Sus scrofa: one gene and its partners. The protein of the gene in region 2 purifies or fractionates together with the protein of the main gene of each other region. This does not show direct contact. Links are inferred from orthologs where the notes say so. Each region holds a gene or a part of one and is shown on either strand. Other genes may lie near its edges.

Region 1 (2,755 bases), on a different chromosome or scaffold from region 2:
GATTAATGTGACCCAAGACCATCAACATTTCTCATCCAAAGCTGGTCTTACCTGAACCTCTGTCTTCGACCAACTGAAGCAACTTGGGATTAATTGCCTGATTAGCTTCACGAAGCACAGAGATAAGGTCGCTCACTTGCTTTATGTTATTAGGTGTAAAGAAAGTGTATGCTGTGCCTGTTTTGGTACTGCGGGCAGTTCTTCCAATTCGATGAATATAATCCTCTGAGGAGTTAGGGTAGTCATAATTGATGACAAATTTCACATCTTCCACATCTGTAAGGTGTTGCAGTGTGGCAAAATAGCAATGTACGGAGTTTTGCACACCACAACAGCCAGACCAAAAATAAAAAGTTAGACAATTGTATTCCCAAGAAGGTATGGGCTGCAAAAAATACAGTTAAAATGGTTATCCATTCCCTGTAGGAATACCATTGAGATTGAAGAGAGAAAAATAAGAAGCACACGTCACTTATACGCCTCGTGACCCACCCAATAACGGAGCCTGTCAAAAGGACGTGTGTGTATTCCCTAATACATTCCCAATTCAGCCAAGTCCCCTTACAGATCATCAAGTGACATCTGAATGCTTCTGCGCAGTAGGGCCACTTAAAGGTTCACAGCAACCTCCTCGTGTGCTCATTTTGAGGACCTTTCAAGAAAAAGGTACATGGTCCTTTGCATTACACACTCATCAGAAGTTCAAATTTCTGGCCACACTGCTTGTCTTGCCAAGACCTTACAACCGCAGCTGCAAGAAAAACATACCTGTCCCCCAAAAGTTGTTTTTATGCACTGTGTCTCGTCTAGGCAAGCGCTTCCAAGAAGCCAGGATTCACTTGAGAATGTGTCTCTCTCTGGCAGGTCTCGACATGACGACTACTGTGTAGGTGAGGGAGGAACTTTCAAAGCACTGCTTTCTTTTCCCACTGACTAGGTGTGAGAAGTTGTCCCTGCTCTAGGATCTTATGTGCCAGTACTCACCAATTTGTAAAAGGCTTAGTACCTTTTAAAGCTGCTCTCTCCATTTCAAACTTGGAACAAAAATTTCATTGAACATTGAAGTTTGGAACTATTTCTTCGACATTTCAGCAAACTCACTGAAACTCAAAGACCCACAGATCACAGTAAACAGTTTGCAACAATGCTGTACCATGGCAGTCATGCAAAGCATGGGACAGAAGAAATACCACGGCAGTGAACTGTGAGGATAACTTCCATTTTTTTCCCCCGGAGAGAACAGTTTACGGGGCAGAGGTGGTATGTTCTGCCTTTTGAAGATTACTGGCACACTTTCAGCTTTTCACCTCTCTAATCGACTGGAAGCAGCCAGCCGATCACTAGTCCTCCATCCCCCTCGAGTCCTCCGATTGTCATGCCTAGGCCTTGCCACAAAGACTGCACCTTTATATGAAAAAAACTTGGAAAAAATGCAGAGGTTAAAGAAAGCAATAAACTTTCTTTAAAAAATTAATGGAGATCTTCTGGGAAACCAAGCCATGAATTCGAGTTTGTACTAACCTAGCCCTCTGGAGGCCACATCTGTAGCAATCAGAATAGGAGCTTTTCCATGTTTGAATTCTGCCAAAAAAAAAAAAAAAGTATATATATATATATATATATATATATATATATACACACACACACACACACACACACACACGAAAATAACTGACCAAAATGGAATTTAGGTTCTGGTGGTGGTGGGGAACCTTTCACTTGAAATACTTACCATTTAGAACCCAGTCACGTTCCTGTTGACTTTTGTCACCATGGATACCCATGGCAGGCCACCTAAATTAAAGAGAAGTTGTATTAATACACTCACATTTAAACATCAAAGTCTAACTGTCAGAATTTAATTAAGCACATAAACATTTTTGGTCAAAGATCCTTTTAATTTCAAATAATGTATCTACGCTCTCATTTATACCATCAGATTATCCCCATTGATGAAAGTCAAAATCCATCAGGAGCTCCCTTCATGGCTCAGGAGTAATGAACTGCATTAGAATCCATGACGACGCAGGTTCAATCCCTGGACTCTTTCAGTGGGTTAGAATCTGGCAATGCCATGAGCTGTGGTCTAAGTCATAGACACAGCTCAGATCCTGCATTGCTGTGGCTATGGTGTAAACCAGCAGCTACAGCTCGGGTTCAACCCCCAGCCTGGGAACTTCCATATGCTGCTGCAGGTGCAGCCCTAAAAACACAAAAAACAAAACAGAAAAGGAAAAAAAACCAAAACAAAAAAACAACCCACCTCAAGTCTAACGTTACTAAAGTTTCTGCCCTCCCCCTAAACTCAGCTCTTATTAATACATCTGCTTCAATGGAGGAAGCCCACATACCCATCTCTCCTCATTTTCCTAGTAAGTTCATCACATCTTCTTTTGGTTTCAACAAAAACAATGGTTTTATTTTCCTTCTCACTCATGATCTCTTCCATTAGGCGAATAAGTCTTTAAAGAAACAAAAAATTGTGAATTCTAAGTTATAGTCAGCAAAACACTAACTTCAACTCATATGGCTACAAGTCAAACACCTGCTTAAACGTATAAACAGTCTATCCTTGGTCTTGCCCCTGTTAAGACAGATCTTTTTTTCTATAGATGATAGAAACATGATGACAACCAATTACATGAACAAAGGAAGCAAAACAATTTTCAGAACAATGAATAGACCAATTTCAACAGCCAGATTCCAGTATGACTGAAAGTCATGTTTAAGGTAACCTATAAATGCATGACTCAAT
Region 2 (2,586 bases):
TGAGAAACTTAACAGAAGTTTTTTGTATTTTACCCTTGTTCCCCTCTCATTTCACCTCCTACCTTTATATTTATGATCACTCACTCAGGCCTTCTTCATTCTTTTGTTTTAGGATAAACGCTCCACTTGTCATCTTGGTCCTAACTCTTTGGGGATTTTTCTGGTCTTATATATTTTAATTCTATTCTTGCTACTGTTTCTTTTCCATAGATATAAGCAAATCACCCTATGTTTGGGACAGAATCACCAAGTACACTGTGAGGTAAGTTTTACACAGGGGAAAACTGAGGCACAAAGATGTTAAGTTACTTACCCAAGGTCAGTTAGTGGTAGAGCCAAGATTTAAATTCAGTTCAGTTCTAGAGCTTATACATAATCACTTTATTATCTACCTTTCTTCAGTTAAACAAACAAAAAATAATCATTGCAAAAAGATAAGGTGCAATTTTATTACTTTCAACATTTCATCATAACGAACAAAGAAAATAAAATAACACAGCTTTACAAAAATAAATTTTTATTAAAAGCAGTAGAATCTGAGCAGGAGACAGTACAAAGAGTGTAAACAATGTAAACATCACTACATTCAGCTCAGCCTGATTGAATGCTGAAAGACAATTCTAAATTGCTCTATGTGCCTTTACTAGCAAGATACATTAGTTCTAATGTACACAGAAAACACACTGATTTTGATTGGGAAAAAGTATTTTATCGAAGTCTGTCCCAGCGCCAAATACTGGCATCATCACAAACAGCTATAAGAATGCTGCTATCTCTACTAAAACTGGTTTGTCGAATAGCAGCACCACATTTATGATGAGTCAGTGTTGTACATCTAGGGAGAAAACATGACAACAGGTTAATACCATACATACATAAGACTGTCAAGTATCTAACTTAACACAATGAATAAGAAAGTGAATAGATGCTCCAAGTCATATAGAAAAGCATTTGAAACCAGAATAGACTTCACTAAGGGCTCAATCTCAAATTTCATGAAATTGGGGTATACTTTAACTCCCAAAGGCACCCCATAACTTAAATTAAAAAAAGCGAAATAACGTGTTACCAAAGTATTTGGGAAAAACAGTTATAGAATAAAAGAGAAATACTTTACAATACTCTGAGAATGTAAATGTTACAAATTATTTAGGATGGCACTGCACATATCAATTACTTCCTTTATATTGAGCTAACACTTTGGAGAAAAAAGGCAGAAATTATGAAGAGGAATTTCTAAATACTTACTTGGCTTTATGAGGATCTTCTACTTCTAAATCCCAAACATAAAGTTTACCAACTTGATTGCCCAATGCAAGCATCTGTATAAACACATTTTTTTAAAAAAATATTAAAGTAAGCTATAAGATTTCAAGCAATCCTAAGACACTTTGTTATTTCAGAAGATCCTCAGCTGCAGCCTATGGCAATGCTCTTGATTGTGTCTTTGCATCTTATATTTCTGATTTGTAAAGGAGAAAAGAGCAACTGATGCCCCACAAAAGTGTCTTGAGTAAATTAAGATATTTTACAAGTTTATGAAGAACTTTAAAATTTACAATGTTATTAGCATGTATTCCTTATGCTGCCTTAAAGAACTGTAGTAAAAGCCGTAGAAAATCTGCAAAGCTTTTATATAGAAATAAATATCCAAGTAATTTGTTATCACAAAATCCTAATTAATACCCAAATTTCTTTAAAACAAGAAATTAGATAACTAATGTCTTGTCTCTATCTTCCATGTTGGTTTTTCTAAGAAAATGCTATAGAAAAAGATTAACATTCTGTAGTTCCCATCATGGCACAGCAGAAATGAATCCGACTAGGAACCATGAGTTTGCTGGTTCGATCCCTGGCCTCACTCAGTGGGCTGGGGATCTGTTGTTGCCGTGAGCTGTGGTGTAGGTCACAGACACGGTGGATCTGGCATTGCTGTGGCATAGGCCAGCAGCTGTAGCTCCGATTGGACCCCTAGCCTGGGAACCTCCACATACTGCCAGTGTGGCCCTAAAAAGAAAGGAAAAAAAAAAAAAAACAGATTAACATTTTAATCAACAAACATTAAATCTTAGTAATAGATGTTAGGGATAATAAACACCTGTCACCATTGACACTTGTCAATTTCATTTATAATAAGCACTGCGGATGGTGTGCAGAGCACAAGGGTAGAATAAATAACATCAAAGGCTGGAGTTCCTGTCGTGGCTCAGTGGTTAAGGAATCCGATTAGCAGCCATGAGGCTGTGGGTTCAATCCCTGGCCTTGCTCAGTGGGTTAAGGATCCGGCGTTGGGGTGAGCTGTGGTGTAGGTCACAGACACACTTGGATCCTGTGTTGCTGTGGCTGTGACACAGGCCTCTGATTCAGTCCCTGGCCTGGGAACTTCCATATGCCACGGGTGCGGCCCTAAAAAGCAAAATAAATAACATCAAAGGTCAAAGCAATTAGTATTTTTTTTAAAAAAGGTAGATTAAACTTTGAGGAAACACAACACAAATGCACTACAGAGAAAATTAAAACTGCCATGGTTTTACATCAAATAATTTCAAAACATAAAACATATTGCTACCTTTTGCCAGAAATCCA
Region 3 (3,500 bases), on a different chromosome or scaffold from region 2:
CCTAAGAGGAAAAAAAAAAAAAAGAGTCAACTCGGTTAAGACAGTTCCACTAGAGGGAGTCCCGTTGTGGCTCAGGGGATTAAGAATCTAACTAGTACCCATAGGGTTGTGGGTTCGATCCCTGGCTTCTCTTAGCGGGTTAAAAGATCCAGTGTTGCCGTGAGCTGTGGGTAGGTCACAGGCACAGCTTGGATGTGGCATTGCTGTGGCCGCGGTGCAGGCTGGCAGCTGCAGCTCCAACTGGACCCCTAGCCTGCTGCAGGTACAGCCATAGAAAATCAAAAAAAAAAGAAAAGATAGTTCCACTAGAAATTTGATACATGTGATACATAAAGACAGTTATCAAAGTAGCTTAACCATTGAGCTGGGTCATGCAGCGAAAATATCATACGATGAGCACAGTTCGTCAATACACCCTCTAGTGTCTACCCAAACCCCATATATATTAAACCTAACAAGACAAATGTTTACCTATCAAGTTTAAGTCATCGAAAGATTGCTGACACATTGCAAAATATTGTGACAACGGCAAATATTTCTTTAAAATTTCAAATGCAACACCACTGGTTAAAATGTTAGGAGTGCTTATTACAGCTGCATGTTAAAAAAAAAAAAAAAAAAAAAGATCAGTAATAGAGTGTCTAAATATCAATACAACCTTGGAAACAATTACCCATTCACTTAAGCCAAGAATATTTTAGCCATTTTAGTATCATTTTTATCTCAATGATGGCATACTGATGACAATGTGTGGCCTAACAAATTATCTATTCTAACAACGCGACATTAATTTCTGGAAAGAGTACTAAGTATGGCTTACCATTCAAGACAAAGCTAGATAAAGTTGCAAAAATTTATAATATTATCAATTTTATAATATTTTGGTCCATTACACTGACTCACCTAATTTGCTTTAACTCTTTATTCATTATTCAATAAAAATTCTATGAACTGACAAAATATTCTCGAAAGAATACAGGTCAATACTAAGCTACCTCTGACAAGACTTGGGAAAGATTACCACAAATAATGAGTGCAGACTGCTGTTTAACAGGACTGTATACACTAATCCTGGTGCCAATAGTTTCTCCAGTTAATTTCAGCATCAAGGATAATTTAAGACCACTCTAACAACAGAAATCCTAAACAGTGCCAATTTCTAAAGGTCCTCAACTTAAAACACCAGAACCTTGGAATGTATCTTATTTATTTACAATATTCCCAATGTATTTTAGAAAGTCTAATTTCTTCAAAGTAATGTAACTCCGAGCAAATTAAAATTCAACACATGATATGTTCTATTTAATTTGATTCCATCAAATATGTGGGAAGTAAACAAAACAAAAAAAAAATACATTGGAAAAAATAAAGCCTATGTAAAAACAATCCCAAATTACTTTGGAAAAAAAAAAAAAAAACCCTAACAATTATAAATTAATAAAACTAATGAAAACAGGGAGTGAAAAAAAGAAATGACAAAACCAACCCCTCCTCGCTGACCATCTACATGAATGGAACGGATGTGATCTGCCAGATCTGGACTAGAGTTGAAGCAAGCCTGGCACTGGTCCCAACAACAATTATAGGCAATATTTTTGCTTGAAGAAGTAGTGCTTCCTTGTCCATTCATCATTGCTGGAGTTGAACGCCCACTGGAAATTGTGCTGTCTACATCCATTATAGTACTGCTTATGCTACAAAAGAAGAAAAAAGGCTGTGTTATTCCTAAAAATTCACTAACATGAATATGATCTTATAAATACTCAATTAAGATAACTACTTGACAATCTGCCCATAAAGCATACTAACCATATTTTCCATTAGAAAACAACACTGCTTTACAATTATTTAGTTTCAATTATTCTCTGAAGCTAAACTTCAAATAAATATTATCTGCAATAAAGTGCAAATCAAGACAAAAACAAAAATAAAAACAAAAAAAGCTAGCACCTCAAAACCAGATATGGGAATAATTTAAGCAACTTTCCACAGCCATGAAGTTCCCAAGACTATACCCTACAGAAAACAAACCCGTCACACACAGACAGACACACAGACACACAGACAGACACACACACAGCTTATCACATTTCATCCACAATTCTAAAAAGCATGATAAAGTAATAAAGCGACCATGATTCAAAATCAAAAGGTTATCTTTAGAGTTCTGCAAATCACTTTTTGAACTGAAATCTTTTCTTCTATTCACTAATCTGAGAACACAACTATCACATCCTACCTCTTTCCATCTCAAAGAAGTTGGGAAATTTTGCTGTATTTTCCCTTCTTAATAAAAAGGCAAAAGAGAGAAAACTGAGATCAATAAAAAGTTTCCCTGGTTTTCCCAAAGTCCAAATAAAAAGTATTTTCCTGGCACTCAAAAAAACTTTTAAACCTTTATGCACCAAAAAAGACTGAAAATGCCAATCAATCCCCTTTACTTTTTATATACTAAACAAAGTATTAGTAATTCTTCTTGTTTACTAAAAAATGACATTAGTAACAAAAGTAATTTCGTAATTTTGAAAGCTCAAAATTTCACATCATGGTAAAATATAACATCCTTTGCCTTCATTTTATAAGCAATTCACTTTATTTTCTTTTTTCAATATCTTCTCAATAGAGAAATTACACAGAAGTAGTTTCAATCACGGAAGGACCAATAGTAAGAATGCTTCAGATTAAAGCCACCAAAAGCCATATATCTGCCTGCAAATTAAGTACCAGTAAATTATAAAAATATTAATTTTTTTTTGTCTTTTTGCCTTTTCTAGGGCCACTCCCGCAGCATATGGAGGTTCCCAGGCTAAGGGTCCAATCGGAGCTGTAGCCACTGGCCTATGCCATAGCCACAGCAACACAGGATCCAAGCCGCATCTGCAACCTACACCACAGCTCACGGCAACACCGGATCCTTAACCCACTGAGCAAGGCCAGGGACTGAACCCACAACCTCATGGTTCCTGGTCAGGTTCGTTAACCACTGAGCCACAATGGGAACTCCAAAAATATTAATTTTTAATGCCTCCCTATCTCCAAGTTTTTAATATAAAAAATTTCAAAGACACAAAAATGTAAATCTAAATCTGAACTCATATATTAGAGAACAAACTAGTGGTTAAGAATGGGAAGTGGGAAGTAGCAAGTGGTAGGATGGGGTATGGGCTTAAGAGGTACGAACTACGTATAAAATAAATAAGCTAGGTTGTTTAAAAATGTCTCAGATTTCCTTTTAAAGGATATTCATATATTTAAGTCTATCTGGCTATCTACCAGTCAATATAGAGATTCTAAATTTGAACTCTAAAACTTCATTCTGAAACTCTGTAATCTCTAAAACACTCTCAAATGAGAATCAACTCTTGACTATCCAAAAATTTATTCATATAGTTTGTTTCTGCAGGAATAAACTAAAGGTCTGGTGATTTCCTATGTGGAAATACAAATTACTATTTGAGCCCTAGAAATTTCAAGTTCCATGAGGTCCTTAACTGCAAAAT
Region 4 (3,500 bases), on a different chromosome or scaffold from region 2:
GACCAGTGGTGGAAGATGGGAGACTGCTGGGAAATTCTCACCTTGTCCCTCTTGCTCCAAAGCTGAGAGTGGAGGGAGGGGGAGCCTGCAAAAGCAGGTGCCATCCTTAGAGCCAGCATCTTTAGAAAAGTGCTCCAGGTGCCTACAAAACAAAACCAGGTTGGAGAGGATCACAGAGAACACCTGGCCTGTTCTGTCCTAAGCATTCCCACCGAGCTGCCGTCCCCCGGTCCCTGACTGCAGAGCTCCAGTGAGCCGTGGCCACTACCTCCAGAACTGCCACCCTCCTTCCCCTCCCAGCCTAGCTCTGCTTTCTGGACACCCCCCCTGGGGAGGGGGAAACAAAAGTGGGAGAGGAAGACCAGGTTCCAGTGGCTCTTTCCCAGCCACTGTCTCATGCTGCTCCTCCCTCTCTGTGCCCCAGGTCAGCAGTTCAAAGCAGAGCTGCCTTGTGACTTTTGAAGATAATTCCAAGTACTGGGTCCTGTGGAAGGACATACAGCATGGTGAGTATTCCCATGATTTCAGGCACCCCTGCCCCACCCCTGGTCCTCTCTCCTCTACCTCCATTTTTTCCCTCTCTCTTTCTGTCTGTAATTTCTGGCATCTGGCGGTGTCCTTGGAGTGCCAGGCCCACCCGAGGTTATATAGGCATATGGATTTCCAGTTGTACATTTACGTGGAAACACACTTCTGACATCTGTCACCCCCTTGAATACTCAGACCTCAGGAGGGAGGCAGGCAGATGGCTCAGGAGGTGTTGGGAGAGCTCGGATGGGTCCCAGGCCTGTGTTTGCTTCCATGCTGCCCGAAGCTCTGGATCACTCTGGCACTAGGAACAGAGGAGCCCCAGGCAATCAGAATTGTCACCTTTACATCTAAGCACATTGTCCTCCTTAACAATATCAACATGTTAAGAAAACTAGGGAGGTAGCTCTATCCATGGGGAAAAGACAAAAAAAAAAAAAAAAAAAAAGCAGATATGCACCAGGCAGGGTGATGGTAGACATGCCCAGGTGGAGCTGGGACAGTTTTCAGAGTTGAAGGGGAGCTGAGTTGGATACCACCCCTTGGAGAGTTGACACTGTCTTACAGAGATGGGAGTTTGGTGGCATTCTTACCACCATTCTCCCTTCCCATGTCCATGCCAGACATCACTAATCAATCACAATACTCATATATTTTGAACATGGAGCTCCAAGAAACTGCTACCAATCAGAGTCACCACGAGAGAAAAGACCTTTTTGCCAGTTATGCTCTAACAGGAGAACAGACATGGTGGTATGTGGGGGGAAAGGCAGATTTTAGGGTCAGATGGTTCCTGGACCAAGATAGTCTAGCTCTGCCGCATACTAGCTGCCTGTCTTGGAGCAAGTGAGCTAACCTCACTGAGCCTGTGTTTTCATCTGAAAAAAAGGAGATTGTGAAAGTAGGGTCCTCACAGGGTGGTTAAGTGAGATAATCCTTGTAAAATGCTAAGCCCAGTGCTGTTGAGGGAGCAGCAGTTTCTGAAGAATTTGTTACCGTAATAGGTGATTTTAAGAGCCTGCCAAGCAGAGGCCAGTTAGTAGAGCTTGCAAATTGCCTTTTTCTCCAAGACGTTGTGGCTAATGCAGACTGCTTCTCCAAGCCCCTCTCCCTCAAAATGCATCTTTAAAGATCCAAAGCAGGGAGTGCCCGTTGTGGCGCAGTGGTTAACGAATCCGACTAGGAACCATGTGGTTTTGGGTTCAATCCCTGGCCTTGCTCAGTGGGTTAAGGATCCGGTGTTGCCATGAGCTGTGGTGTAGGTCGCAGACGTGGCTCAGATCTGGCATTGCTGTGGCTGTGGCTGGCAGCTGCAGTTCCAATTCAACTCCTAGCCTAGGAACTTCCGTATGTTGCATGTGCAGCTTTAAGAACCAAAAAAAAAAAAAAAAAAAAAAAAAAATCCAAAGCAATGAGGGTCTCCTCTCCTGGGGTACCTTCTTAGCTAAAGGAGGGGAAGCCAGCTGGTGAGCAAGCGAGTTCACCTTAGCAACCGTGAGTAGAAGGCTCACTCTGGGCCCAGCACCCCGAGGAGGTGCTATGCTGCTCACCTCAGGAACCCACAGCTCCCAGGCCACCCAGTGTGAGCGCATGGGCACCACACAGTGAGTACCACCTTCCCAGGAGCATATTCAGGAATAAGAGGCAAGAGACTATTCAACAAGCACGTCTTGAACACCTGTTATGTGCCCTTCCCCATAAGAAGTCTTGGGGACGCAGAGATGAACAGATACCATTTCTTCCCTTGTAGAACCTTCGATCTGCTGGGGGAAATGTGACAGAAGCACACAGAAAATCAAAATGTATTTACTCTATTCACTGAAACCTTTCTCCCATAGATATGTATTTATTCTTCAACAAAAGCAAATTGCAAGGAAAAGAGAGGGATGGAGAGGGAGCCTTTAGATTAAAAGCAATTGAATGAACTTAAGACTTTCTTTTGTAGACAACTGGAAATGTGAACATTAACTGAATTTGTTGTGATATTAAGAAATTACTTTTTAGGTGCAGTAAAGGCGCTGTAGCTTTTTTTTTTTTTTTTTTTTTTTTGGTCTCTTTCATTTTAGGGCCACACCTGCAGCATATTGACATTCCCAGGCTAGGGGTCGAATTGGAGCTGCAGCTGCCGGCTTACACCACAGCCACAGCAGTACAGGATCTAAGCCGCAGCTTGTGGCAAAGCCGGATCCTTAACCCACTGAGTGAGGCCAGGAATGGAACTGTATCCTTGTGGATACTAGTTAGGTTCTTAACCTCTGAGCTGCAGCAGGAACTCCTGTAGTTTTTTGTGTGTTTTTACATAGAGTCCTAATCTTTCAGAGATACATATTGAAATGTTTACAGAAAATGAATGGGTATCTGGGGCTTGATTCACAGTAATTCAGGAGGGGGAAACGGGTGGGAATATAGTCAAAACAAGATTGGCCATGAGTTCATAATTGTTGATAAGAACAGAGAATTTCATTATAACATTCTATTATTACCCCACAACCAAAAGTTTTCAATTAACATAAACTTTAACAAATCAAGCTAAATTAACCAGGAGATAAATTAGGTAGCATGATATAGTCAAATGAATAAATGATTAGATGGCAGACAGCTGTGGGTTTGAATTCCCATCTTTCCTACTGACTAGCTGAGTAAGGGACTTAAGCTCTCTGGGCCTCAGTTTCCCCATCTCTAGAATGGGGGAGTGGTAATAGGCGGCTGTGGGCCCAGCACCTGGAATGTGATTTGAAAACTCCTAATTCCTGTGACCCTGACCTGACCCTAGAGGGCCTCTTTCTTTCAGCCGGAGTTCCTGGGGAGGAGCCCAAGTGCAACATTTGCCTGGGGAAGACCTCAGGGCCTCTGAATGAGATCCTCATCTGTGGGAAGTGTGGCCTGGGTAAGTGTGACGAGCAGGGCACCAGAAGGTCCCGCCCTGTGGCTTTCCATCCCCTGCTGACTTGTGACTTACGTTGCCCCCCACG

What was found.
Region 1: the proteins of EED (region 2) and DDX5 purify together in Homo sapiens (affinity purification with western blotting; 3 studies listed by BioGRID, with this or other methods). This does not show direct contact. The link is inferred for Sus scrofa from reciprocal best matches to the Homo sapiens genes EED and DDX5.
Region 3: the proteins of EED (region 2) and AEBP2 purify together in Homo sapiens (affinity purification with mass spectrometry; 6 studies listed by BioGRID and IntAct, counting the BioPlex papers as one, with this or other methods). This does not show direct contact. The link is inferred for Sus scrofa from reciprocal best matches to the Homo sapiens genes EED and AEBP2.
Region 4: the proteins of EED (region 2) and PHF19 purify together in Homo sapiens (affinity purification with mass spectrometry; 8 studies listed by BioGRID and IntAct, counting the BioPlex papers as one, with this or other methods). This does not show direct contact. The link is inferred for Sus scrofa from reciprocal best matches to the Homo sapiens genes EED and PHF19.

The regions. Positions count from the first base shown.
Region 1 is NC_010454.4:14,575,731-14,578,485, reverse strand, and holds part of DDX5 (probable ATP-dependent RNA helicase DDX5), read right to left. Parts: intron 2,463-2,755; coding exon 2,352-2,462; intron 1,795-2,351; coding exon 1,733-1,794; intron 1,582-1,732; coding exon 1,522-1,581; intron 277-1,521; coding exon 52-276; intron 1-51. UniProt on the Homo sapiens protein: Involved in the alternative regulation of pre-mRNA splicing; its RNA helicase activity is necessary for increasing tau exon 10 inclusion and occurs in a RBM4-dependent manner. Binds to the tau pre-mRNA in the stem-loop region downstream of exon 10.
Region 2 is NC_010451.4:20,156,662-20,159,247, reverse strand, and holds the end of EED (polycomb protein EED), read right to left. Parts: coding exon 2,570-2,586; intron 1,323-2,569; coding exon 1,249-1,322; intron 836-1,248; coding exon 709-835; 3' UTR 501-708; downstream 1-500. UniProt on the Homo sapiens protein: Polycomb group (PcG) protein. Component of the PRC2/EED-EZH2 complex, which methylates 'Lys-9' and 'Lys-27' of histone H3, leading to transcriptional repression of the affected target gene.
Region 3 is NC_010447.5:53,667,488-53,670,987, forward strand, and holds part of AEBP2 (zinc finger protein AEBP2), read right to left. Parts: intron 1,695-3,500; coding exon 1,487-1,694; intron 1-1,486. UniProt on the Homo sapiens protein: Acts as an accessory subunit for the core Polycomb repressive complex 2 (PRC2), which mediates histone H3K27 (H3K27me3) trimethylation on chromatin leading to transcriptional repression of the affected target gene.
Region 4 is NC_010443.5:260,913,277-260,916,776, reverse strand, and holds part of PHF19 (PHD finger protein 19), read left to right. Parts: intron 1-424; coding exon 425-506; intron 507-3,319; coding exon 3,320-3,415; intron 3,416-3,500.